Oryctolagus cuniculus: one gene and its partners. The main gene of each other region encodes a partner of the protein of the gene in region 4 in a complex. Links are inferred from orthologs where the notes say so. Each region holds a gene or a part of one and is shown on either strand. Other genes may lie near its edges.

What was found.
Region 1: MED12 (region 4) and MED1 share a complex: the UniProt entries of both Homo sapiens proteins name them as parts of the mediator complex. The link is inferred for Oryctolagus cuniculus from reciprocal best matches to the Homo sapiens genes MED12 and MED1.
Region 2: MED12 (region 4) and MED19 share a complex: the UniProt entries of both Homo sapiens proteins name them as parts of the mediator complex. The link is inferred for Oryctolagus cuniculus from reciprocal best matches to the Homo sapiens genes MED12 and MED19.
Region 3: MED12 (region 4) and MED24 share a complex: the UniProt entries of both Homo sapiens proteins name them as parts of the mediator complex. The link is inferred for Oryctolagus cuniculus from reciprocal best matches to the Homo sapiens genes MED12 and MED24.
Region 5: MED12 (region 4) and MED8 share a complex: the UniProt entries of both Homo sapiens proteins name them as parts of the mediator complex. The link is inferred for Oryctolagus cuniculus from reciprocal best matches to the Homo sapiens genes MED12 and MED8.
Region 6: MED12 (region 4) and MED31 share a complex: the UniProt entries of both Homo sapiens proteins name them as parts of the mediator complex. The link is inferred for Oryctolagus cuniculus from reciprocal best matches to the Homo sapiens genes MED12 and MED31.
Region 7: the proteins of MED12 (region 4) and MED13 are in contact, whole or in part, in a cryo-EM structure (PDB 8TQC), measured with the Homo sapiens proteins. The link is inferred for Oryctolagus cuniculus from reciprocal best matches to the Homo sapiens genes MED12 and MED13. Residues at the interface, in NP_005111.2 of Homo sapiens: Ala3, Phe4, Arg12, Pro13, Arg16, Leu86, Thr123, Thr127, Thr150, Pro152, Val153, Met154, Arg155, Phe242, Pro278, Leu281, Arg282, Arg356, Pro357, Phe360, Gly361, Cys364, Gln367, Thr368, Cys372, Pro407, Glu408, Phe413, Val417, Lys1526; in NP_005112.2 of Homo sapiens: Ser157, Glu158, Thr336, Val337, Pro339, Gln340, Ser341, Gln343, Lys344, Trp345, Lys347, Phe348, Asp1186, Ile1189, Leu1190, Gln1193, Asp1194, Pro1332, Ile1333, Thr1335, Leu1337, Tyr1340, Asp1341, Tyr1342, Asp1343, Tyr1344, Leu1345, Val1346, Leu1347, Ser1348.

The regions. Positions count from the first base shown.
Region 1 is NC_091448.1:22,906,050-22,910,032, reverse strand, and holds the start of MED1 (mediator of RNA polymerase II transcription subunit 1), read right to left. Parts: upstream 2,801-3,983; 5' UTR 2,579-2,800; coding exon 2,554-2,578; intron 1-2,553. UniProt on the Homo sapiens protein: Component of the Mediator complex, a coactivator involved in the regulated transcription of nearly all RNA polymerase II-dependent genes.
Region 2 is NC_091432.1:14,441,313-14,445,345, reverse strand, and holds the start of MED19 (mediator of RNA polymerase II transcription subunit 19), read right to left. Parts: upstream 2,801-4,033; 5' UTR 2,718-2,800; coding exon 2,501-2,717; intron 1-2,500. Other genes in the region: TMX2 (thioredoxin-related transmembrane protein 2), read left to right, coding at 3,172-3,360. UniProt on the Homo sapiens protein: Component of the Mediator complex, a coactivator involved in the regulated transcription of nearly all RNA polymerase II-dependent genes.
Region 3 is NC_091448.1:22,404,805-22,407,319, reverse strand, and holds the end of MED24 (mediator of RNA polymerase II transcription subunit 24), read right to left. Parts: intron 2,486-2,515; coding exon 2,386-2,485; intron 1,646-2,385; coding exon 1,565-1,645; intron 1,326-1,564; coding exon 1,177-1,325; intron 1,040-1,176; coding exon 923-1,039; 3' UTR 501-922; downstream 1-500. UniProt on the Homo sapiens protein: Component of the Mediator complex, a coactivator involved in the regulated transcription of nearly all RNA polymerase II-dependent genes.
Region 4 is NC_091453.1:50,928,015-50,931,514, reverse strand, and holds part of MED12 (mediator of RNA polymerase II transcription subunit 12), read right to left. Parts: coding exon 3,482-3,500; intron 3,290-3,481; coding exon 3,179-3,289; intron 3,056-3,178; coding exon 2,801-3,055; intron 2,426-2,800; coding exon 2,279-2,425; intron 2,114-2,278; coding exon 2,014-2,113; intron 1,900-2,013; coding exon 1,763-1,899; intron 1,528-1,762; coding exon 1,396-1,527; intron 1,084-1,395; coding exon 957-1,083; intron 509-956; coding exon 279-508; intron 1-278. UniProt on the Homo sapiens protein: Component of the Mediator complex, a coactivator involved in the regulated transcription of nearly all RNA polymerase II-dependent genes.
Region 5 is NC_091438.1:129,638,949-129,642,909, reverse strand, and holds the end of MED8 (mediator of RNA polymerase II transcription subunit 8), read right to left. Parts: coding exon 3,947-3,961; intron 2,311-3,946; coding exon 2,170-2,310; intron 1,972-2,169; coding exon 1,890-1,971; intron 1,525-1,889; coding exon 1,276-1,524; intron 866-1,275; coding exon 801-865; 3' UTR 501-800; downstream 1-500. UniProt on the Homo sapiens protein: Component of the Mediator complex, a coactivator involved in the regulated transcription of nearly all RNA polymerase II-dependent genes.
Region 6 is NC_091448.1:49,930,968-49,935,182, reverse strand, and holds the end of MED31 (mediator of RNA polymerase II transcription subunit 31), read right to left. Parts: intron 867-4,215; coding exon 674-866; 3' UTR 501-673; downstream 1-500. UniProt on the Homo sapiens protein: Component of the Mediator complex, a coactivator involved in the regulated transcription of nearly all RNA polymerase II-dependent genes.
Region 7 is NC_091448.1:35,408,779-35,412,916, reverse strand, and holds the start of MED13 (mediator of RNA polymerase II transcription subunit 13), read right to left. Parts: upstream 2,801-4,138; 5' UTR 2,055-2,800; coding exon 1,989-2,054; intron 1-1,988. UniProt on the Homo sapiens protein: Component of the Mediator complex, a coactivator involved in the regulated transcription of nearly all RNA polymerase II-dependent genes.

The DNA of each region.
Region 1 (3,983 bases), on a different chromosome or scaffold from region 4:
CGACATAAATCAGAAAACATCATTAGAAACTCCTTTATCAAGACCTCGTTTTTCTTGGAAAAGAAACCCCCACACAGCCGAATCTAAGAATTGGCTAAACTACTTTTCGATATAATTTCTTCAAACCACATAAAGAAAATATTTTTAAAGGTGAGAAGACACATACCTTATGGGTCTGATAAAAGGAACACCATAGGACATTCCATTCAAGGTTTTAATGGGAACCCAAAAAGGAACCGAGTCTAATCATGATTCACGACCATGCCTACAACTTAGTGACAGTCATTTTCATAACATGCCTGAAATTTCTGTATAATATTTATAGAGAGCATACATTTGAACATGGTCTTACAATGGTTAGCTGATTTTCAATGTGAAAATACTTCCTTAATTTTTGGCCATAATTTTAAGAGATTGGTTGATAAGTATGATCAAGAAAACAGACCCTAATTGCCTATCTGATGTTTCATATTTTTCCATATAGCTAAAATTATATGGACAGGGAAGAAATCAATAACCAAAAGATGAATTTCCAACAGAGGTTAAGAGAAAGGCAGAAAGGATCAGCTCCTGAACTAAGAATATGAATGAACCTCTTAAACCCTTCGAGCCTCCCCTAGTTCTTGAACTGCCATGTATGAGCGAAGACCTGTGCTGGGGCCACTGGAAAGGAACACAAGATATGCCTGAGGAGGGCCGGCGCCATGGCTCAATAGGCTAATCCTCCGCCTTGCGGCGCCAGCACACCGGGTTCTAGTCCCGGTTGGGGCGCCGGATTCTGTCCCGGTTGCCCCTCTTCCAGGCCAGCTCTCTGCTGTGGCCCGGGAGTGCATTGGAGGATGGCCCAAGTCCTTGAGCCCTACACCCGCATGGGAGACCAGGTAAAGCACCTGGCTCCTGGCTTCGGATCAGCGCAATGCGCCGGCCGCAGCGTGCCAGCTGCGGCGGCCATTGCAGGGTGAGCCAACGGCAAAAGGAAGACCTCTCTCTCTCTGTCCACTCTGCCTGTTAAAAATAATAATAATAATAATAATAATAATAACAAGATATGCCTGAGGTGACATCTGTGAGGCAGTGTGATCAAGTTAACATGGGAATTACCATTGGTGCAAAAAGAAATGCTCTTAAAAGCAGAGACATTACTACTGAATAGCAAAGAAGGAAAAGTACATAATCAATATGGAGACATTAAAAAAAAAAAACAGACTGTTGACACTGGCACTGAAAAATAAATAGAAGGTCAGAGTTAAGGCAGCAAGATGATCTCAGTCAAGACTCAGACTCCTTCCTTCACGCCTTCATCTTCTGGAAAACTGGTTTGTAGGCTGCTTCAGCCAGCTGATTGCTCTGGGCACATTCCTATTTCCCACTATCAAGCCATTCATTCAAGCACAATTGTATGTGCTGCAGACACAGTAGTAAGCAAACCATACAAAACTCCTGCCTGATGGTGTTTCCACTTTACACCCAAGGGACACACATTTCTTCTCCTTCAAATCACACCCCTTTTTTTTCTTGAGAAGCATTCTGTAAAACGTCCTTAGTCTGAAACTCAAATCAAACATTTTCTGAGCAACTACTATGTGCCAGAGATTATACAGAGATGAATAAGGGAGCCGGTGTTGTAGTATCGCGGGTGAAGTCACCACCTGGGATGCTGACAACTCATATGGGCAAAGGTTCAAGGCCCAGCTGCTCCGCTTCCAATCCAGCTCCCTGATGGTGCACCTGGGACAGCTGCGGAGGATGGCCTCAGAGAGTGGCCCCCTGCACGCATATGGGAGACGCTGGGGAGGCTCCTGGCTTCGGCCTAGCCCAGCTCCAACTATTGCGGTCATTTGGGGAGTGAACCAGCAGGTAGAAGATTTTTCTCTCTCTGTAACTCTGCCTTTCAAATAAATACATCTTTAAAAAAAAAAAAAATGAATAGGGCAGCCCCCTGATCTACAAAGCTCAGAACAAACTGGAAGGATGAACAATGATAATAAAGTAAGCTGTGATTGAAAGTGCAGTGTGGAACTCCAGAGAATCGGAGTAAAAATTTCCATAGAAAAAGTCGTTTTCAACAGTTCTAAATCAGTCCGGCCACCGATGGGAACACTGTGACTTTTAGGAAGTGCAGGCATTTTGTATCCTCAGGACCAAATCACATCATTCACATCAAAATACTCTCCAGTACTTTTAGATACACGGTTCCGTATGGCTGTTTTTAGGCCATTATTCAATGGTCTCTTCCGGAATGAGTTGCAAACAGCTAATATATTCACTCGCCTGATCTTCCACCACTTTAGGCTAAAAGTGCCCAGAAGCCCCAGGTACTGTCTCTATATAAAAAGGAAATCTTCACCCAAGTTGGGAGCCCCCACCACCCTAAGTCAGCGCTCTATCACCATCAAGGAAGGCATGATGAGCATCTAAGACACACACATCCCGCATCCTGGACTCAGTGCCCCCGCGAAAGCGGCCCCCACGGGGCATCGGCCCCCACCTCCTCGCCCAGATTGGCTGCCCCCAGTTGAGTCCCGCCCCCTCCTTTCCCCCACTGTCACTCACCCTCGGTTTCCCCCTGAGCCTTCATCCTGACGACGGGCAGGGCCTGGGTCCGCCACAAGAGGAGAAGCCCGTTCCTTCCACTAATGGGAGAGCCACGTTAGTTCGGGCTCCCGGGACGCAGGGCACCAACAGTCCCTACTCTTCCCGGGAAGGCTCAGTCTGAAGTCCCCGGTGGCAAGAAGAGAAGGGTGCCTGCGGCCGCCGCCATCTTCCCCAACGGAACTTCCTAAAGCTCGCGAGATAAACCGTGATCCTGCGCGAGAAAGGAAGCGACGGGATACTGAAGTCTCGCGAGAGGTGAATGACGTACTTCCGCGAGATTTCTTCCAAATCCGGCTGTCTCTTAGCTCTTGGGTACTTCGTTCTGAACTTGCGAGCAGGTAGAGTTCGGTTGTTGTACGAAAACTTGCATTTTCATTTTAGCCGTTAGTTTGGAAACTAAACCCACAGAACCCCTTTTTTTTTACAGGCTAGATTTTCAAAGAATACTGGTATCTGAAATGTTTTATCAAATACAGTAGAGTTTCCCTTATATGCTAGATGCAGTAAAACTGTCATAAAAACACTGGCTCTTTGTAACACGACATTTGAAGGCTGCCTAGGACACTTAATTACCATTTTCTAATATTTTTTAAGTTTCAGGAATATTTCTTGAGCAGTTGCAGCAGTTTTGAAAATCTGAAGTGCTTTGGATTAAAATAAACTTGTTCTCAGCAGCAAGTGCATGTTATCACTGTGTCTTGGTGGAAACATGCAGTTTAGCTTGTATCTCCACTGCAGATCACAGTGTGTAGTCTTCTCTCTTGTGTCAATAAATCCTCATGAAGAGAAATCCATAGCAATGCTGGCAAGTGCATGGCCACTGGAGCTTAAAGGCTACTTTTAAAAAGAATTTTCTCATATACATCCTTCAAAAATGCGGCTGGAAAGTAGGATCTTACCTAGTTTTCTGCAAGAATATTAAGCAATGAATTTCTTTTTTATTTTTAAGATTTATTTATTTGAAAGGTAGAGTTACAGAAGCAGAGAGAGAGGTCTCCCATCTGCTGGTTCACTCCCCAAATGTCCACAACTGCTGGACCTAGCCAATCCAAAGCAGGAACCTGAAGCTTCTTCCAAGTCCCCCTGCTGCCCTCCCCCCCCCTCCACGGGTGCAGGGGCCCAAGGACTTGGGCCATCTTCTGCTTAAGCAATGAATTTCTACTGACTGTAGTCTCAGATTTTTTCCACATTTAAAAAATAGCATTCACATATCCAGAGCCATCTCAGCAAATAACTGCAATTCAACTGAGTAGGCACAGCAGTATAAATTTGATAAAAAAAAAAAAAAATAACCTGGCAACTTGTTTCTTTACTGCCACAAAGGTAATTATAACATTCCCTTGAAAATAGGATTACACTTTTATTGTTTTTTTCCTCTTATCGTCATT
Region 2 (4,033 bases), on a different chromosome or scaffold from region 4:
TGGCACTGCTGCTTGCTACTGCTTTCTGATGTTCCCTCCTCTCTGCCAGTTATCTTCCTCCCAGGTGGTTTTGCTGAAGGTCAGGGAGAAGGTACTGTGCTTTTTCTAAACTCTAACTTCCTGTTTTTGACTATTGCTTTGTAGTTAATTTATAAATCTTTCTCCCCAGCTCTGACTCCTCTCCTGAATGAACCTTCTTTGCAGTAAATTTCATGCAGATTCAATTTTTTTTAATTCAAATTCTTGCCCATGTCACTTATGGCTTCTTCATTTCAATCATGGCACCGCCATTCTTGAGATGTTTTAGAAAGCAGGACTTCTGAGTTCAAAAACCTTCAGGTTTCCTGTTACTCTCGGGAGAAAGCACCCGTTCCTCAGGCATCCAGGGTTATTCACATCTGACTGCATCCAACTTAGCTCTGGGCTTCATCAGCCACTACTTCCCCAAAGGTAAAATTTCTTTCTTTTTGGTAAAATTTCTGATCCATTCAAATGAGTCTCCACACTTATGAGAAAAAAAAATAGGCATTCCCTCTTATATTGTTTCCTTTTAGGAAAAATCTGTTGTTTTTTTTTTTTTTTCCCCAACCAATGTGAATTCTTCACAGTCCAGCTCAAGTGACATCTAATTTCTTGCTGTCATCATGGATACACCACATTTTGAAAACCATCAAGGAGTTAATGCTGTTCACTAAGATACTGTTAGCTGTGCAGTATTTAAGGCATGACTGCAAAGTAATGAGACTGGTATCGATGAGAAACAGTCACTTGTTTATCCACAAACCACATACTGTGCTTCCCTAACTAACTAAAATAGTCTTCTTATAAACCAAGGACCAAGGGTGGGCATTTGCAGCAGTCGTCACGACACTGCTTGGGATGCCCGTATCCCATACTAGAGTGGCTGGGTTCCGTGCCGGCTCCTTTGCTTCTGCTCCAACCTCCAGCTAGGATGCAGGCTGCCAGGCAGCAGATGACGGCAAGGACTCGATTCCTGCCAGCCACAAAGGAGACCTGGATCAAGTTCCCAACTCCTGGCTTTGGCCTGGCCCAGCCCTGGCTGTTGGGGGCATTTGGGGAGTGAACCAGCAGATGGAATGTCTCTCTGCGTCTCTCCCTGGCTTTCAAATAAAGTAAAAATTAGGAAGTAAGGCCCAGACCTGACATCTCTTTCCCCCTTTCAACACATCATTGTTCCTGCACATAGAGCATTTACCAAGAACAGATACCAAGTATCTGCCAACGGGCTGACAGAAACAAGCACAATCAGAGTAAGTGAAAAAAGCTTAAAGAAACTGCTGGTGGTTGTCTCTCTGCATTTCAAATAAAAGGAAAACTATAGTTTAAGAAAAAGCACTAGGGTCCGGCACTGTGGCATAGCAGGTAAAGCCGCAACCGGCAGTGCCGGCATCCCAAATGGGCACCAGTTTGAGTCTCAGCTGCTCCTCTTCTGATCCAGTTCTCTGCTGTGGCCTGGGAAAGCAGCAGAAGATGGCCCACGGCCTCGGGCTCTTGTACCCATGTGGGAGACCCGGAAGAAGCTCCTGGCTCCTGGCTTCGGATCAGCCCAGCCCCAGCTGTTGTGGCCATCTGGGGAGTGACCCAGAGGATGGAAGACCTCTCTCTCTCTCTCTGCCTCTCCTCTCTGTTAACTCTGATCATCTAGCAACAGTTATGTCCATTTTCTAAAAGTGAACATCTTTTAATTCAGTTTTTCCACATTTTAAAAATTATTTTATTTGAAAGGCACAGGATGAAATCTTGCATCTGCTGGCCCACTCCGCAGATGCCTGCAACAGCCGCGACTGAGTCTGGAGCTCCACACAGGTCTCCCCTGACAGCGGTAGGAATCCAGGGACGTGCCATCGTCCGCTGCCATCCAGGGTGTACACAGGGTTAGGACTCAATCCAATATGGGATGCGGGCGTTCCAAGCCGTGGCTTAACCTACCGCACCACAACGCCTGCCTCCACCTCAACTCTTGATCACGTTTTCATCCAGCATTAATCACTATCTGATGCTATCTTGCTTACGCTGTCTCCAATGGCAAAAAGGACAAAGATCTTGCCAGTCTGGTTCACAGCTGTAGCTCCAGCATGCAGAACAAACCACATAAATTTGATATGAAATAATTTCGTGTCCTTCTAATCCCGTCTTTGAATAGATGAAGAAACTTACCCCCAAACCAACAGCCAGCCTGAGGCGGACTGAAACTAAAAAACCTCGGTTCCCTAGGCATATCATTTGAGTTCCGATCTCCATGACCCTGGAGAAGCCAGTGTCAGGGGCACAGCCCAGACCCAGAGACACACACCCACCTCCTCCCAATCCATCCCACGAACCCAATCATCCCTGTGGCTGCGAATCTTCGCAGCTCTTGCAAGTTCCAGCTCCACGGCCCGGGTCCGTGCAGCCTCTGCACCTCCAGCAGCCGGCCAACAGCCACGCCCTCACCTCTTCAGCATTGGACTGGTTAGCTTCGGCCAGGCCTAGTACTCACCAGGCAGTTCCCGCATTAGATAGAAGGGGCCACAACCAGCCACTGACTTGTCTGTGCCGGGAGGAGCGGTGGCCGCCGTGGGAGGCGGCGCTGTGCCGGGTCCCCCGCCCGGCGGCGGCGGGGGCGGGGGTGGAGGCTTTCCTGGTCCGAAGCCTAGTGCGGCTGGGGGAGGTGGTGGGTCAGCTTGAGCCCCGAACAGCGCCGTGAAATTCTCCATCGTCCCCTCCGCACCGGCGCTGCCTCAGTGTCTGGCGTTGATGACTATCATTGGACAATCCTTTCACGGGGTACCGCCCTCTTCCTGTAAAGAAAGCTTATCATTGGATATCTGTGGCTCCACCTACCTTTTTCTGGCAACAACTTCCGTCGCTTTCTGAAAACGTTCAGGAAGTGCTATCTAACCTGATTGAATTCTTCTGGGTCACTTCCGCGGGCCATAAACACATATCCAATAAAATGACCTTGGTAGAAAAAGCGACAACTAGATTGGCCAGTAAACCGGTCAACTCCACTTTTCAACTCGGAATTACGGCGGCATCCAATGAGAAATCTACTTCCGGGTCTAGAGGCGGTTCTTCTGGTAGTTGGGCCAATAGAACGCTCAATGGGGTGGGAGGCGGGCCCAGATTTACGGACGCCGGTGAGCGGCGGGCGCCGCAGGACCTGGAAACATGGCGGTCTTAGCGCCTTTGATTGCTCTGGTGTATTCGGTGCCGCGACTTTCACGATGGCTGGCCAGGCCTTACTACCTTCTGTCTGCCCTGCTCTCTGCTGCCTTCCTGCTCGTGAGGAAATTGCCACCGCTCTGCCATGGACTCCCCACCCAACGCGAAGACGGCAACCCGTGTGACTTTGACTGGGTGAGCGCTCTAGGGCTCAGAACCCCGCGACCTTGACTGTCCCTGCCCCTGCGGGTGCATGTGGAGTCCCGAGTTTCACCTTCCTAAGGACACTTGAGGTTCCCAGCCTCTAGCGGGCTTGCAGACTGCTGAAGGGTGTAGGGCGCAGACTGTCATCGCATCTAAACGAAGTGTTTACGATGGGAAAACGGAGGCGGTGCCTGGTAGCCCCTGCACGACAGCCCCAGTCCGGGCTTCCTGACGCCTCGCTGTTCCTGCCAGTAGACAGCCGTGCCCAAACTCGGCACCTGTGTGGCGTTCTGCAGTACTGCTCATTGTGCAAAGCCTCCCGAGGAGCCTGGGGCGGGGGGCGACGAGGCGGGTAGTGGTCGTAGTCCGGTTTCCTGCTTGAAGAAACCGGCCTGCGCGTGGGCAGCCGACGCGCCCGGGGTCACACGACTGGAGTGCCTGGGCCTTTACAGCGACTTTTCCGGCCATTGGGACTTGCTCGTTCTGTCAGCCATCTCTTCATTGAGCACACTGTGTGCTAAGTACTGTGCTGCACCCGGATGTGGGATGCAAAATTGAATAAAACCTGAAAAGGAATTGGAGAAAAATAAAATAAAATACGTGCCAGGCCGCCTGCGGTGCTTCCTCAGTAGTTTTGAGACCGCTTATTAAAAAAAAAAAAAAA
Region 3 (2,515 bases), on a different chromosome or scaffold from region 4:
ACCACCCAGCCCACTGTCTTGGGCGCCCTCCCTATCCTCAGCTCCTGTCACCCATTCTCCTCCCCGCAGTGCCTTAGACAGCAAGGCCAGACCCCAACTGCCTGGCTGAGGGCTCTCCCACAGGGGCTCCGAGCGTGTGGAGAGGCAAGGAAGGGTTCAAGAGCGTTGCTGTCCCTCGCCCTGTCCTGTGGAAGCGACAGCTCAAACTGCAGGCCGGACAGACCGGGTGGGGAGCCACAGAACAGGACATGCTGCCCCAGCATGCCAGAACCCCTCCCGCTTCAGGGTACGGCTCACCAGGTGGGCCGCAGGCCAGTGCTGTCACCCCACTTGGGTCTGAGCCCAGGAAGCTGCTCTCACTGCCCCCCTCCCCTACCCAGTGAACACACACGGGAACCTAAGCCCTACTTCCTGAGCCTCTTCCTCCTCCCCCCTCCCCCAGCTCCAGTGCAAGGGACACGGGGCGCAGACGCAGACACCCATGGTGCGGACACTCACAATGTGATCCGTGAGGATCTTTATTTACAAATGAGCTGAGGTGGGCTTCCCCTCACATTACAAAAATACACGGCCCGTACACACATGCACATGCACTCTCTCTCTCCCTCTCTCTCTCACACATACACACACACCCTTTGCGTCCATGAAGTCCTGGGGGCCAATCTGCAAGGGGGAAGGCTGCACAGGGGCCCTGCCCTGGGCTAAGGATCCAGGCTGCTCCTTCTCTTTAGATACAGGCAGAGGGGAGAAGAAATTACAAAAAAGTAGGAACTGTTTAGAAGTCAGGAAGGGGGGAAAAGTTCTGGAGACCAACCAAGGGCTCTCACACCAGAGCAACGCCGTTTCATCTCTCCTCACTCTTCCCTCCTGAGGTGCCTGAGGCTGGGACCCTCCCAGCCATTCCTGCAGCCACTCCAAGCCCTCAGAGGGCAGCAATGGCTTTGGCGGCCACCTGGCGGCCCAGAGGCAGGCTGAGGTCCGTGATGGCCAGAACCACCTTGGGGCTGGACATGGCTGACACCTTCACCAGCTCCGAGACCTGCCACAGACAGAACAACAGAGGCTCACCAGGTTCCTCAGGTGGTGCAGGGTCCCAGGAGGAAGGAGGCCCCACCCCGGTGCGGGTGCAGCGACGCCTGGGCCGCCTGGCGGTGGCCCGGGGTGAAGGGCACTCACGGTGGTGAAAGGCATGAACTGCAGGATGCTGCCTCGGCTGCCCTGCTCCAGGCAGTCCACGCACTCCTCCATGAACCACTGCACGAACTGCGTGTGGGGGCCGGCGGTGCGCGACCCCAGGATGGAGGAGATGAGCAGGAACAGGTTGGCTGTGCAGGACGGGAGAGCAAGAGGAGGCAGAGATCAGAGTCCAGGGGAAGGCAGGGGAGTAGAAGGGGGCGCCGAGACCCGCAGGCAGGAATGTCCAGGGGAAATAGAGGAAAACGGGGAGACACGGGAGCACTGGCGAGGGGGAAGCAGGTGCAGTGGGGGAGGCGAGGCCTCTTCCAGCGGACGTGGCCCCTGCCTCCCTTAGGGAGAGGTTCAGGAGCAGCAGCGGGGGACTCACCCAGGACTCGGTTCAGAGGGTCCCTCATGTTGACCGTGTGGAGCTGGGAGGCCGAGAGGGAGCTGCTCATGGAGCGGTCAGCTGTGGGGAGGAGCGCAGGGACGCTGAGGAGACGGCCACTGCACTCACTGGTGGCTCTGCCAGTGGCAGCCCCCCCCAACTCGGGGATCAGCTGATCCCTGCAGAGCCCAGAGAAGACCCTCAGACCAGAGTCCAGAGGAGCTCTGAATGCGGACATCCCCATGAGGAGGACCGCCAGGGCCGGGGCCCAGCCTCCGGGCTGCACCAGGACTCAGCTCTCAATTCTCACACCCCATCTGCAGGTGAGGACATGGGGGCTCAGCCTCGCTAAGCAACAAGCCGCGGTCACGGGGCTTGTAGGTGGCAGGCCCAGTATCTCTCCTCCTCTCACACGTGCACTTGGACCCCGAAGTCCCCAAAAAGCCTCAGAGAAATTTCTATTCTCAGGAAAGAGAAATGGCACCGAAGAGGCCTTAGGGGAAGGGGGCGTGGAAGCCAGGCTGGGCCGGTGCTCCGCGGGCAGGAAGAGTGGGGAGCAGCCCCAGTCCCAGCTGGGCCTGCTCCAGACCACAGGGTGTGTTTTGGGGGAAGGAAGGAAGCACAGAGCTGATGAGTCAATGGCACAGACTGTACTGAGGCAGCTGTGGCCATACCTGCGTGGTTTGTCACCCCCCAACCCTGTGGTGAAAGGGAGGGACCAGGGAAGAACCAGCCAGCGGAGCCTGTGGCTGCGTCTGTGCATGCGCGGCTCTCGGGGCCGGGGGGGGGGGGGGGCTGGCAAAGGCAGCCCCTCTACTCACTGGGGCTCGAAAGGATATTGGCGTCATCCTCATTGGAGCTCAGCAGTCGCATCAGCTTCGACGGCTGCGTGTCGTCCAAGGGGAAGAGGCTGCTGTAGTCCTGAGGGGCAGTCACTGTTTCACAACCTGA
Region 4 (3,500 bases):
TGGGAGTGAACCAATAGATGGAAGATATCTCTTCCCATCCCCACCCCGCTTCCTTCTCTGTCACTTTGCATTTCAACTTAATGAAAATAAGCAAATAAACATTTTAAAAAGCCCAATACCTTACAGGGATGGTGGAAGGATGGAATGAAAAAACAAATGATGTGAGTGCTTTGTAAACCGCAAAGTGCTAAGAAAATACTACCCTTACTAGGCCAAAGGGACTCTCAGAGGCCTTGGGGAGCCTTGAAACCACTGAGAGCCAGGAAAAGCCCACTCACCTCCAGCTTGCTGCTGCTGCTGCCTTCGGCCTCCTTGCGCTCTGGGTCATCGGCAGGATCATCGAAAGGGGAGGGAGGCCGGGGACCGGGGGCTCCAAAGGCAAGGTCCCCTCGGGAGATGAGAGTGCAGGTGTACATGTTGTGCGAGAAGACATCATGGCGGATCAGTTCACAGAACAGTAGTACCAGGTTGAAGAACTCCACCCGCTCACTCTCACTGCGCGGGTCCGCTGTGGGGAGGGAAGGAAGAAAGATGGGTTAGGAAGGCACAGGGGAAGTGGGCAGAGAAAGAGAGAGGCACACCTCAAGCACGGTGCTCCCAGCGTACCCCCAGAGAGGGACATGCTAAGGGAATACAGGAATGGCCAAAAAAAAAAAAAAATGGCAGAAACTCTTGAGGGGCAAAGTGTGGTTGGTTAGCCCAATGTACTGGCCCACACACCATCTCAGAAAGGAATCTAGCTTCTTCACTGCTATGTGTAGAATGAAAAAGCTTCAATCACGTGTTCTTTTCTGCATTTCTCTCCTCGTGGGAACTCTGAGATGAGCAGGGACTAGAACTCTGTCTAAAAGTCATCGTGCATGGAGTTCAAGAGGCCCTCAGTTCATCTTTATGATGACAGTGGTGGGCAACTGGACCTAGGCAGAGTTAACTAAAAGGTAGCAGGGGGTTCCTACTCAGCATGGGAGCCTGTGTATCCAGAAACTGCAGGAGGACATCCTGGAAAATGGGAGCACTCGGGGCCGAAAGGGAGCCAGAGGCGATGGAGCCCTTCTCATCTGCTGCTTCCGATTCTCCGCACCGCTGTGAGATGAGACGACAAGTTGTAGGACTGACTTTCTTTCCCCCGTGTCTTTACTCCTCGACGTGTAACCCTTGAACTGCCACCTGTTTCGCCTCCACCCCAGGCTTCTCCCTTCCATCCCCCGCCGCGTGACCTCAGCTTCTTTTACCACCACCCACGAAGGCCCTTGATTTTCCCTCTCTCTCTCTCATCTCCACTCTGTTCTCGCACCATCCATCACCTGGGGCCCCACCACCACCTCGATCTGTCTCCAACCTCAGGTCGAGTCCTTCCTACTGGCCAATGTCAGCCTCTCATCTCTGCCCTCTCACCTCGGCCTCAATCTCCGCCTGTCTCTTCTCCAGGAGCTTGGCTACCACCATAGCACGATGCCGGCCAGAACGCTTACAGCTGACAGCCCATTCACATAGCAAAGATACCACGGCATCATCATCTGAGGAGATCTGAAGACCCGAAGGAAGATGGGGAGGAGGACGGTAAAGGTTGGGGATAGAGAGCTAAGTTCCGATTTCTTAAACACTGGGCCCCATCTTGAGACCTCTTGCTCTGCAGACATCCCCCGGATTCAATGCCTCGCCATGCCTTCCCCTCCCACATGCCACTGCTCTTGCAATGGCATTATTATTATTATTATTATTGTTATTATTATTTGCTCTTTCTGGGCCTCTACTTGCATACCTCATGCCCATCTTTGCTAGGCCCCAGTCCGAAGATTCGGTTGCAAAGGGAGTCAAGGGAATTACTGAAGTCAGAGCGCTCAAAACTATGGCTGTCGAGCACTTCCAAGGTATGCAGCACCCGTCCGATTGTGAAACCTGAGGAGGAAAAGCAGCCAAAGGGACTGTACTTAGAGGCCCAGTGCGTTCGGACTCTCAGTCCCAACCATACCATCTTTCTCTTAAACGTCATTTCCGTCCTCGGCCACGCACCTGCAGTGGCTTCCTGGCATTTATCAAAAGACCAGCGGACCTCAACCGCCTGTCCCCGCTCCTTGATCTGCTGCTCGATCTCTCGCAACTTCGCACGGACCTGTGATATCAAAAAGGCAGGCTTCAAGGCTGTATCAGGGCTGGCCAAGGGCCACGGCCGAGGTTAAGAGAACAATAAGAGAACAGGCTCCAAATCACAATGTCTGAAAGAGTAATTGAGCCTCCCATCCCAGCGTGGGAGTCGCAGGCTGGGAGCCGGACTTGCCTGCTGGGTGAAGGCACTGTTGCCCTCCGGCATGGGTAGGTTGGAGGGGGCAATAGGCAGGTGGTCAAGTGGTGAGCCAGTCTTAATTCGGCTATCAGTCAGCGAGTAGTGCCAAACCAGGGCACTAGGGCAACACAGGAGGATGGTCTGTGAGACAGAAACAGCAAAGCCAAACTCAGTTACCACGGCTCTCTCTCTGGAATCCCATTAGAAGACCCAACCCTTAGGTTCTGGATCCAAAGTTATTCTGAGTCCCCAAGGCAAGTATCACTCTATCCTCGATCCCTTCCCTTCATCTACTTTCCTAAAAGCCTTTGAACCTATTATTGAGCCCAGGAATGAAGAGGTTGCCAAAGTCCCCAGAGGGAAAACAACACCCTCTCACTGAGAAGCAACAATCTCCGAGCAAGTCCTCAGCGCCTACTTTCACTTCCAATCTGGAATCACTCCCGTTCTCTGGGATGGGCACCCGCTCTTTCCAGGCATGCTCTTAACACTTCTGTGGCCCTACCTCGTACCTACCTGTAGGATACAGCTGAGGCCAAAAACCAGGGGCCGGTGCTGAGGGCACAGCAGCAGGTCACTAAAGGGAGTTGAGGGTGTGCTGCTCGTTGGGGGCTGGGGAGCAGGGGTGGTAGGCAGTGTGCTTGTGGACTGCGCGGCTATAACGTGAGATGAGTGGCTGCTCACGCCATCCAGCTGCAGGGCAAGTCTCCGGGTACAGAAGTAGGCAAGGCGGCGGGAGAGGTATGCAGACTGAACGAATTCCCCGGAGTACTGTGAAGACATGACCATCGGAGCCCCTAGTTCTTGCCAAGGGACACTGCTCCCAGCTTTCATTCTTCCTCAAATGCTGCCTAGACACCCCACTCCCACCCACCCCCAAACCCTAGGCCTTACTCGAAGCAGCAGGGGCAGCAGCAGTTTAAGCAATTCATCCTCTCCGGGGCGAATTTTTTCAAAACACTCAAGCACCCAGGTCAGGAACTCATGTCTGTCCAACATGCCATCCTATGGGAATCAGAGGTGCGGGAAGAGGATTAATTCAGCCCAGGGACTGTGAGAGATGAGGCGGATAAAGTAAGGGCAAGGAGGAAGAGCACCACAAGTGGAGCAAGGCGGCAGGGAGATGCCGTTCTATCCTGACTGAGTGTTAAGATCAGGTTCAATCCAGCGGCCCGCACAGCACGCCCTCCTCCCTACCTGGAACATGAACATGGCC
Region 5 (3,961 bases), on a different chromosome or scaffold from region 4:
CCAAACCCTAACGAAAGACAGCATGAAGTACAGTTCCCCTCTTCCTCCAAAATAAGAAAAATGAGACCAAAGGAAGAAGTTCCTTTGCCAAGTGCTAAGGAAAACTCTCCCACGTGGTCCTGCCTGGTAGAGCCATGTTCCGAGAAATCCCCACACCTTCCTTCAGGTGTAGAGGGTGGGGTAAAGGGGAGGCGACTTTTACCTATTTCCCAGGCTTTGTAGAGGACGGAGAGTGGAGCAGGCCTAAGCTTCACCAGAGCTGCAGGTGGGTGGCCTGCCACAGGCCAGGGACCTCTTCACCCGCAGCTTAGATAGAACCTGCGCAGGAGGCGCTGCAGGGACAGCACGCCCCCAAGGACACAAGGCGGCCACAGTTTCTGGCAGCACAAAATAAGCACAGGCTTATTTAATCTTGTGCCCATTAGTTCACCCTTGACTTGAAGCAGTATGAGATCAGAGTAATTTCTGGATCAAGGCTCACAGAGGGCAGTGCAGAAAAGTGACTGTAGAAACTTATTTATTGAATACCTATTATTTCGTGGTTTCACATTCATCCTCTCATTTTGATCCTCACAACAACCCTATGAGGTAGGTATGATTACCATTTACAAATGATAACACAGGTTCAGAAAAATTAGGTCACTTGCCCAGAGTCCAAGCAGTCAGCGGTGGTGCTGCAATCTGTCTATTGCTGAAAGCCCATGTTTTTATTGTATCCATTTAGGTAAGCCTTGAGCAAAAGGTAATTTCACTGCCCAACTCCGCAAAGAGCACCTGGGAGTGGAGGCTGCTGGCCACACTCACCGCTGGTAGGGATGCATTGAAGCTGACTTGATGTTGGTTTTTATTCCACTTGGCATTTTCCCTAAAAGGAACACGAAGAAAGACCTCTGAAGCAAGGGAAGACTTTCACAACAAATCAGAAATGTGGTCTCTCAGGTTCCCTTCTGCCACCTCCTTTATCATCTCAGAACCTCTGTGGCACCTGACTCTGGTTGGCACAGACCAGAGGTGTGGTTTTTCACCCAGCTCCCTCCCTAAAGGCGTTTGTAGGAAAGAGGTGACAGGGGACACTAGTGGGAGGGGTCAGAACGCATCTCAGCAGTCTCCTGCTCATCGACTCCAGATGACATGTTTTACTTCTAAAAACTGTTTTCTGAGTCACGGTGCCAAGGAGGAAATCTCCAAGCCTGGGGATGCGGGGAACCCATACAACCCCATTTATCTCCACGCTCCTGCTTAAAGTCAGCTGAATTCTAAGCCCCGTCACCTTACCTGGTTGACCTGCTTGAGCCATCTGCACCCCACTGAGCATTGGCTGCTGCTGGCCTGGAGCTCCTGCCATCTGCACCTGCTGTAGTCCCGAGGCTCCTGCAAGGATGGCCCCAGCTCCTGGCTGACCCGGCTGGCCAGGACCACTGCTGCCTGAAGGTCTCCAATTAGACAGCCCCTTCCCAAAGGCAACAGCTGCCACCAGAGCATTGGTGTCTGCAGGGTTAAATGTCTGCTTGTTTGGCCGGAGACCTGAAGAAAAAGTAAGTGTGGACCCTGAAGTAGGCCTCTGGCCCTGGACTGCACCTAGGAGCTGCAAGACCAGTGATGAGCACCAGAGTTGGAGTTCTTGCTTTAGCAGCATCTTGACTCTTTCCCAGCCCAGAGGAAGAGCCAGAGGATCCCCAGGCCTGTATCAGAATTCTCCCTTCTCCCTTTGTCCACTTCTTCCCATTGCACCAGGGCTGGCCTTAAATGTAAAAGGCCAACAGAATGGACACAAACTCTTTCCTAAGCAGTTCATCCCCAAGTCCTCACTCCACCACTACCCAAACCACCATTCCTATCCCAGTGATCTGACACCACTCTCCCTCTATGTTGCCACCAATTCTTCTTACCTCCACTCTCTGATTCTCGCTCCTCTTTGCTAATTTTCTCCAGAAGGTTTGAGCACATTTTATTCAAGCTCTGGATCTGCTTCTGTAACACACACACATACACATATTGGTGCAGATTAGGGTAAACAAGAAATGATTATGGAAAAATTTCTTTCTTGGGCTCTTCCACAGGCAACTTAGGTACAACCAACTGTGTTTTCCTATCAGGCAGGAATGGTAATGCCTAGCTTCTCCTGATGGGATGGGGATCAGGGGCTGTGGGGCAGTGACTTGGTCCAACCTGTGCTGCATCAGCACCAATGCGGGCAGCATCTGTCGTAAGCTGCTTCTCCTGCTCTTCAACCTCAGGGTCAGGCTTGGTTCTTAGATGGTCAGGGACCACCTCATGGCTGAAGACAGGCACCCGTCCTTCAGTCTGCCTCTGTAACACAGATTTTACTGATCCTACTACATACTCCAGGAAGATTCACCCTACCCCGATTTCCCTTCCACAGACAAACACTGAATATTCAAGAAAATACAACCTGAGACACAATATCTAGCTTCCTAGGACACTGTCCCCTTTACTCCACGTTTCATTTCCGTTTTCTCACATCCCTATCTCTACCAGCCTAGTGATAAATATAACTCTTTCTGTCATATTTTAATTAAATCCAGAACAAACAAAGTCACAAAAAGAAAGATTTTTTTGCTTGAGAAAGATGTTGGAGAGAAAAGACATTTTTCTTTTTTTAAGATTTATTTATTCATTTGAAAGTCAGAGTTATAGGGGCTGGTAATGTGGCACAGTGGGTTAAAGCCCTAGCCTGCAGTGCCAGCATCCCATATGGGCACCAGTTTGATTCCTGGCTGCTCTACTTCTGATCCAGCTCTCTACTGATGCACTTGGGAAGACAGTGGAGGATGATCCAAGACCTTGGACCCCTGCACTCGTGTGAGAGACCCGGAAGAAGCTCCTGGCTCCTGGCTTCAGATTGGCCCAGCTCTGGCCATTGTGGCCATTTGGGGAGTGAACTGGTGAATGGAAGACCTGCCTGTCTCTCTCTGTCTCTACCTCTCTCTGTAACTCTTTCAAATAAATAAAATAAACCTTAAAAAGGAAGGAAGGAATGAGGGAAGAAAGAGTAGGTTACAGATAGAGATCTTCCATCTGCTGGTGAAAGGAAGGGAGGGAGGGAGGGAGGGAGGAAGGAAAGAAAGAGTGATTTACAGATCGAGAGAGACATCTTCCAACTGCTGTTTCACTCCCCAAATGGCCACCAATGGCCAGGGCTGGGCCAGGCTGAAGCCAAGAGCCAGGAGCTTCTTCTGAGTCTCCCACGTGGGTGCAAGGGCCCAAGCACTTGATAGGGACCATCTTCTACTGCTTTCCCAGGCACATTAGCAGGGAGCTGGATCAGAAGTGGAGCATGGGGCCAGCACCGTGGTATACGGGTGAAGCTGCTGCCTGCAATGCCAGCACCCCATATGGGTGCTGGTACAAGTCCCAGCTGCTCCACTTCCAATCCAGCTCTCTGCTATGGCCTAGGAAAGCAGTAGAAGATGGTTCAAAATTCTTGGGCCCCGGCACCCCCATGGGAGACCCGGAAGACGCTCCTGGCTCCTGGATTTGGACTGGCAGAGCTCCAGTGGTTGCAGCCATTTGGGGAGTGAACCTGCAGATGGAAAACCTCTCTCTCTCTCTCTCTCTCTGCCTCTCAAATAATTAAAATCTTTAAAAAAAAAATAAAAATAAAAAAGAAGTTGAGCAGCTGGGAATCGAAATGGAGCCCATAAGGGACACTAGCATTGCAGGCAGTGGCTTAACCTGCCAGGCCACAGTGCCAGCCCCAGAAAAGATCTTTGCCTTGGTAACACAGATCTTAGGTTATTACAGCACTATTTGGAAGCTGCTTCCCTACTCTAAGACAAAAGGCAAGGCCTCCAAAATATAGCCCTGCTTCTTACTGCCATGAACTACCCCACATTCAGAACTTCTAGAATAACCAATCGACAACCGTGCCCTAGGCTTTCACCTAAGAATGTAATTTCCCAAGTTTCCCCTTTTACTCTCTTACCATGAGATCTTCATC
Region 6 (4,215 bases), on a different chromosome or scaffold from region 4:
ATGAGAACACAGGGAAGCACTTCACACAGTGCCCAACTTGCGGTACCTGCCAAGTAACTGTTCACTTTCCCAAAGCAGCACAAGTATGAGTGGTTCCTGTTCCTTGTCGCTGCTGTTGTTTAAGGTCAAGAGTCCACTCTGGTTAACCAAACTTCTCCCTGCCCATTCTGGGTCACTGATAGACCACTGATTCTTAAAGCTGTCTTACAAAGCAGGTACTGGTACAGTATCTGCTCTGCTGCAGGACCCAAGAATCTTCGTGCATTCCCCGCTCCGTTATTTAAGGAGGTCCCCGATCCCAGTCCTCTCCTTGAGACAGACAGGTTCCAGCAGATGGACCCGCCAAGGTACCACTCTGTGTCCTGAGCAGTCAGGACATTTGGCCCTACCCCGCTCCATGCCCCACTACCTCCTTAAGCTGTTCTAAAGCACCTAATTCTCCCGTCTGTATTCAGCTGATTGTATCAAATGCTCTTAAAAACATACACAGGAAACCAGTGTAGAACAATCTGGTTTAACAGAAATACTCTGTTACAATAAAAAGTTAGTTGGGTTAGAAAGCACACTGAAGGGTCTAGTTGCGTCCACAATGAAGGGAGGCAGGAAAGTCTGTTCTCACTGTACAAACATACATTATATACATGTCTTCAGAGCCCGGTCCGCTTCCAGCTTCTCATTTTCCTGACGTATTATTTTGCTGTTGCTGCTCTGCCAAGGCTTGCTGAAGGCGCATCCGCTTCCGGGAATAGTGCTGCCAGTGCAGAATCTGCTGCTCGTCAATGAACTTCGCACACTGCGCGTTCACGAGCTCCTTTCGGAAGTGTTCGTACTGAAGCAGTTCCAGCATGTGTAAACACTGAGGGTACCTGGTTTAAGTTCATACGTTAATGAGCCACATGGTTTAAGTCAAGACCAACTTACAGTTCAGTTACTCAACACGACTGGGTAGCCTATGAGTTCTAGTAACGTAACTTAAAAATAAGCTGTATTTTTGGTAGCGTAGGATTCTCCACTAGTCATCGAGAGTCAATATTACATAAAATTGTCCAAACCGAGAAAATTTAAGTTTAGAAAGATTAAATACTTGCCCAAGACCACACAACACAGTGACAGTAAGCTGAGTCAGAATTTGGGGACAAATCATGCTGTTCTAGCACATGTTTGGTAATTATGTGTTTAACTGGCAGCTGTTTATTGGTTTTCCATCAACAGTGATCGAAAGATAACTTTTTATTTAAAAGTGAGTCGGGCAAAAAGAACTACACACAGATACTGTCCTCAAACTTTCCTGGGACCTAGCAATTCTGAGGTTAGTTTACATATACTCTCAGCATGTATACCATGGTTAACGAGAGCCGAATTTGTAGCTATCAGAAGAGGAGTTACAGATAAGGAAAGGGAGCAGGTTAGAATAAACCCTGTGTTTTTACTTCAAACTTGCACTCGTGGCTCTTAATATATACAGATACAGAAACACAGGTGCCTGTGTGTGCCAAAGGCACAGCACACAGACACAGATCCCAGAAGCAATGACACTGGAGAAATGGCGGAGCCCACGGCTGGGACAGGCAAGTGCAAGCCGTGCCTGGAGGTCATGGAGAGCCAGGAAGAAAGGAGACGGTCAACACCGATGAGGCCATGGCTAAAGTACTGTTACCTGAGCATGCTCTCAGTGGCCAACCTGGGATAATTATAGAGCAATAAAACACACTTTTAATCCACAGAATTAAAAAACCTGGGAGTCTATACTGATAAACGTTAAATGAATGAATGGAGTAAAGGGGAATGTTCTTCCTTACAGTAGTTCCAGTTAGTAAATAAGGGTAGAATGGTGGAATCAGAAAACCATCCAACAAGTTTCTTAAACGGATGCTAAAATTAGTGGGCGAGAGTTTATTTAACAAGATATTTACATAGTCTCAAGGTATTTCCCCATAAGATACTGAACACACAAGAAGAAATAGTAACTGCGTGGAGAAACCTGGAAGGCACCACCTCAACCAATCAAAAGTGGCACCAGCAGTGGTGGCACAGCCACGTGATGCGACCCCGGCTATGCCCAGGATACAGTGTCACTTCTGTGTCACGGCCGTGAAAAATCAGCAACATAAAGAGCGAGGAACTCAGGTTACAGGAGACTAAGACGACATGACAGCAAAATGCAGCACGTGAGCCCAGCGTGGACACTGCACTGCACACGGGCCCCCGAGGGACAACTGGTCGGACCTGAATGATGATGTTCTGATTCCGACCACCGTACTGTGGCTATGTAAAACATCTGGGTGAAGAATACACAGGAATTCTCTTTATTCTTCCAGCTATTTTGTTAAGTGGCATTATTTCAGGTTGATATAAAACTGAAATAATTCAACTGGGTAGGGAGTATGCAGAGCCAGAACTGCACACGTGACATACACATGAGCGAGGCCTCCAGGTGAGATTCTGACTCGCTATGTTTGGAGCACAGCCTGAGCTCCGTCTAACAAGCTCCTGAATGAAACTCGCTGGTGTGAAGACATCAAACAGCAGGGCCTGATAACAGGCTGCCCCTCTGAGATACTGAAGGTCTGCAGACTACACTCCACAAACACACTGCTGTAACCACGGGGAGCAGCTCTATTCACAGCTGCCCTGGCTCATTCCTTTGCATGGCAACAAGGCAGTTAAAACGATCTGGGGGGCCAGCGCCACGGCTCAATAGGCTAATCCTCCGCCTGCGGCGCTGGCACACCAGGTTCTAGTCCCAGTCGGGATGCCGGATTCTGTCCCGGTCGCTCCTCTTCCTGTCCAGCTCTCTGCTGTGGCCTGGGAGAGCAGTAGAGGATGGCCCAAGACTTTGGGCCCATGCACCCACGTGGGAGAGCAGGAAGAAGCACCCGGCTCCTGGATTCAGATTGGCGCAGTTCCACCCACTGCAGCCATTTGGAGAGTGAACCAACGGAAGGAAGAACTTTCTCTCTGTCTCTCTCACTGTCCACTCTGCCTGTCAAATTAAAAAAAAAAAAAAAAAAATTCTGGGGGGCTGGTGTTGTGACGTAGCGGGTAAAGCTGCCACCTGCAGTGCTAGCATCCCACATGGGTGCCGGTTCAAGTCCTTGGGCCCCTGAACCCGCGTGGGAGACCCAGAAGAAGCTCCTGGCTCCTGGCTTCAGATTGGCACAGTTCCAGCTGTTGCGGCCAATTGGGGAGTGAACCATCAGATGGAAGACCTCTCTCTCTCTCTCTCCTCTCTCTGTGTAACTCTTTCAAATAAATAAATAAATCTTAAAAAGATCTGGGCCTTGAACAGGTACTCCACCTCTCTAAGGTTCAGTTTCTTCACCGTAAAATAAATGAAAGTGACGACCAAGAGAATGGTCTCAGGTAGCACTGAGTCTACGACTGGAACTTGGACACGCAATGAGCATCTGCGGTATGAAACAGAAAACAGTGTTCACAGTACAGACAGGACAGACTGTGAATATTCTGACAGGCTACCGGTCAATATGAGGAAATAGAAGCGGCACGAAAGTTCTGCATCAATTAAAAAAAAAATAAGATATGAACAGAGAAGTCAGCATCACTGATGAAAGGACCTGAGAAAGCACCCAGCATGCCACAGTGTAACGCCCTACCCCACCCTGAAAAGTGATGTCACCCTGAGTTCAATTAACAGAAGTGCCACGTCCACGTGGGAGAAGTGCCCTGCCCACTGCTGAAGACCCGTGTTTAGCGGATGGCTCAACCGCGTTACCACACAACTGCCGATCTCTTCAGTGCACTCGTGAGATGTCTGGAAGCCATGGCACTCGAGAAACGGGACAAGAAAACGACACCTGACTGACACACGACAGCTGCCTGTCCTCGCTGAGGGAGGCCTGCCAAGTAATGGAAGGTGCCTACGAGAGCCAGCTGCTTCCAGGTCCTGCAAGAGCCTGAGTGGGGAGGCTAACGACCCAGGCCCCCAGATCTGATGCTAAAGAGTAGCTGGGAATCTGGATGCTGCTACACTGGAGTGCCGAGGCTCAGGTCTCTACTCCCAATTCCAGCCTCCTGTTAACACGTGCCCTAGAGACAGCGGGGGATGGCTCAAGCACCAGACTCCCTTTCACTCACACGGAAGACCTGGACATGGGGGTTCCAGGCTTCTGACTTCAACGCAGCCCAGCCTGGGCAGTTGTGAGCATCTGGGCAGCGAACTGGCGGATGGGAGTGCTAATAAAATGTTATTTAACA
Region 7 (4,138 bases), on a different chromosome or scaffold from region 4:
GCATAGTAACTTAATGAATGTGTCCCAAGAAGAAATAAAAGAACTTAATGATGCTAAATATAAACTGTACTTTAATATTGCACACTGAGTATATATTTCTTCTGTCGTAAGTTATATTCTAACTGGTGACATTTGATCCTTGATATCAAGCTTTTAGCTGAAAATTAATTCTTAAGACCCATCACTACATATTTATTGTAATCATGACTCTAGTGAAAAAAGACACCTGAACAATTCTTGGAAGAAAAAAAAAATTCATGTTAACTCTTCACACACACCCCTCTGGAAAAGTCAAATAATTATCACAAAGAACTGTCAGGCTTGTGCCAGGCTATCTTCAAAGAATCTGATCCTAAAAGTTCCAAAAACAGACTGAGTTGGGAGAGGACAGAAATGTAAAACCCGATGTTTGCCTTACTGTATCTGAAGAGATGCTGATCAACATATTTTAGAAGGGGGAAGTGCATTAAAGACCTCAACTGAACATCATGAAAAAAAAAATGTGACAAAAGAAATTCAATACTTCTTTAAAGATGCAAAGCATGAGGTGCCAAAAAATGAAACTGCTGAAACATGACTGGCTGGCAGTTAACACTTGCCAGCTACTTGTGCTCCGCCCACTTAAAATCACTTACCTATCATATACCCTTTTTTTTTTTAAGATTTATTTATTTGTTTGAAAGGCAGAGCTACAGAAAGGCAAAGGCAGAGGCAGAGGCAGAGGCAGAGAGAGGTCTTCCATCCTCTGGTTCACTTCCCAGATGGCCGCAATGGCCAGAGCTAGGCTGATCCCAAGCCAGGAGCCAGGAGCCTCTTCCGGGTCTCCCACGTGGGTGCAGGGGTCCAAGGACTTGGGCCATCTTCCGCTGCCTTCCCAGGCCACAGCAGAGAGCTGGATCAGAAGTGCAGCAGCCGGGACTCCAACAGGGCCCATATGGGATGCCGGCACAGCAGGCGGTGGCTTTACCCACTACGCCACGGACCCGACCCCCTATCATATATTCTTATTATTTCACATACTACAGGGGAAAATGAGAAAGGAAAGTCACCCAAACTTCGAGTCACTGATGGAGCTCAGCTACTGTCCAACTCAGGACGCTATTATTACGTCCAGCAGTTGGTACTTTTCTAAGTCTTCACCGCTGGGTGTTAGCAGACCTGGGCCAATCGACACAACTGTCATCTCGACACCCAGATTGCCCAGACTTTTTAATAAAACAAGGAGCAGGCTGTTCCAAACCGTCTTAAACAGCAAGCAAAGCAGACAAATATAGAAGCATTTAGTGCAAAAACCACAGCACCTCCTCCATCAGACCTTCCACTCTCAAGAAAAACATAATGTTCTAATAAAAGCAAGATGGCTAGAAATTGTCAAAATGGCAAACTGTTTTCAAAGTTTAGAAAGAAGACATATGAAACAGCATCTACTAGTTTTTGACACAAAGATCTGAAGTCAGCCAAGGAAGAAAAGTAACCCTGAGTTAGTCTGACTCAGGCAAACGAAATGAAAAACGAAGAAAAGAGCCTTTCCCTGCTCCGGGTCTAGGGTCCCGTATACCAGGGGAAACCAAATGACCCGGGGAAGGCCGAAAGGCAGGGGAAGCAGGAGCACTCACGGAAAGTCTGAAAAAGGGACACAGAGTCACCAGGGAGAAAAGCAACAGTTAAGCAAGAAACACAGAGGGAAATGTTCGCGTCCGACCAGATAAGGTGCCCAAGTTGAAGACAAGACTTCCGTGGAAAAAGAGAGAGAGACACGGAGTCCGAAACAGGACAAGGGAGAAGAGCCCACACTCCCAGGACGGAGCCCGGGACAGCCGGGGAGCGGACGCCGTCCCCGGCGCCGGCTGCGGAGCTCCGCAGGGCACCGGCTCCGGCTGGGCCTAGCCCGGGCACTCGGGCATCGGGATCCGACCCGGCCCCCTCCCCCATGGCCCAAGGGCGCCCCCCGGCCCCCTCCCCCCGCCGCCCGCGGCCCCGGCACTCACCAGGCAGAAGAGGTTACAGTGACAATCTTCCAGGCTGGCCCCGTTCTGCACGGAGGAGGAACTCATCGTCCCTCACAGCAGCCGCCGCCGGCGCCACAACCCACCATCCGCCATTACCGCCGCCTCCGACCAGAGAGAGAAACACAGACACCGGGGAGGGCGGGGGGGTGGTGGTTGGGGGGGCGGTGGAAGAGGAGGCCGCCGGGCCGCCCGCCCTCCCCACCCACCCCCCCTGCCGCCGCCGCCGCCGCCGCCGCCGCCGCGAGCAGCCCCCGCCGCCCGGCCGGCACCCAGCCGCCCGGGGCCGAGGGCCGGAGGCGGGAGGGCCGCGCCGCGCTCGCCCGGCGGGCCGGACTGCGGAGCCCGCGGACGCTCGTCCCTCTCCGGGGGGACAGAGGCGATGTGTGCTCCTTCCACAAGAAAAACAATAAATTACACAATAAATAATCAAAATCGAGTCCGAGACCGCAGAGCCCAAGCTCCGGAGGGTTCTCCCGGGCGCGGAGGAGCCCCGAGAGGGGCGGGAAGGGCGAGAACCGGGAGAGGAGCCCAGGCCCCCGGCCCGGCAGCGGCGATGTCCTTAAAGCCCAGAGTCTCCTCAGTGGCGGAGGTGGTGGCGGTGTCTCCGGGCTCAGACCATTCTCTGGCTGTGTCTTCGTGTCGTCCCTGGGCCCCGCCGGCCTAACGTCTGCTCTCCTGCGGCCTCACCGCCTGGACGCCTTAGTCTCCCCCATTTTGTGGGCCCAGCGGGCGGTGTTTTTCCCCCTTTAATCCGAATTCACGGGTTTTCCCTTCGCTTTAATGGCGGCCACAGGGACCAGCTCGCCCTCTCTGCTCGCCCATTGGCCGCCTGGAGGTCACGTGGGCCGGGCTCCGTGGGGAGGGGGAGAGAGAAGGGAGTGAGGGAGGGCCGGGAAGCTTTCGGCTGAGGCGGTGAGCCCAGGGGACTGGGCAGCCGGCGGGTGGCTACTGAAATAGCGCCATCTGCTGGGTGCCCTGGCCGTGTAAGGTGACCCGGGGCCCACGCACTCTCTTTGCCCTGGCGGGGGAACTCTTCACAAGTCTCTCAGAATGACGTGGAAATCAGTTTGAATTCTTTGGAAGAGGAAGAGTTGCCCAAAATTCCAAGGCATTCTCATTTATTCCACGAGGCTGCCCGGGCACAGCGCAAACCCCCGGACTTGGGAGTCAGGGGACAAGGATTCAGCGGCTAAAAATTGTGATAGGAAGAGAGAGACATAAACGAAACAATGCAGCCGTGTGCGGGAGAGCCTGCGCTCGAAGCCGCGGGAGTCCCTTAGCCTCTGTGTCTCGGTCTCCTCATCCGTAAAAGGGGGAGAGACTGCCCCTTGGCACAGAGGCTTGGTGTGCCGAGTTAGCACAAATGAAGCACCCAGCCCCGCCCCGGGCGCAGACCCGCGGGCTAAGAGTTATCTGTGACCTGGGGCGGTTGCCGCGAGGAGCCAGGGAGCCAGGCACCTGCGCGTCCCCCACCCCACCCCCCCTCCGCCCCAGAACCTCCACTCGGTTTGCTTACCGCTGTCAAGCGCCGAAAGAAGTTCCTAGCACACAGTAGGTGCTTGCTTGGTATATGTAAATTCACAAATGCATGAGTGGCTACAAGAACCAGAGAAAATGTTAGCTCCCTTCCCTATAAAACACTTAGTTTTTGGCTGGATTACACCTCAAAGGAAGCGTTCAAAACATTTTCCTTGAGAGGGTTACACCAAAGGAAGAAGGAAAAGGGGCTCCCCTGTTTGGCTCAGGATTAAGCCCGCTACATCCTACATCTGGGTGCTTATATCGAGTCCCCACTTCCGATTCCAGCTTCCTGCTAATGTGCACCCTGGGAGGCAGCTGTGATGTAAAGTACGGGGGTCCACACTGCGCAAGTGGCAGATGGAAGAGCTCTGTCTCTGTGTCACTCTGCCTTTCAAATAAAACTTTGAGAAGAAGAATGAGGGAAAAGATGATTGAGAAGTTAGAAGCATCAATGAGTTAGAACATCGTAATTTCCTCTGTAAAATCAATGGTGGACACTTGCAGTCACGTCTTCAGCCACGGAAGGAGAAGCGTTCCTCAGCCATCCGTGTCTCCTTCTGTGGTCAGGTAAGAGCCCATAGCTTGAAGCCGAAACCACGTACAAAAAA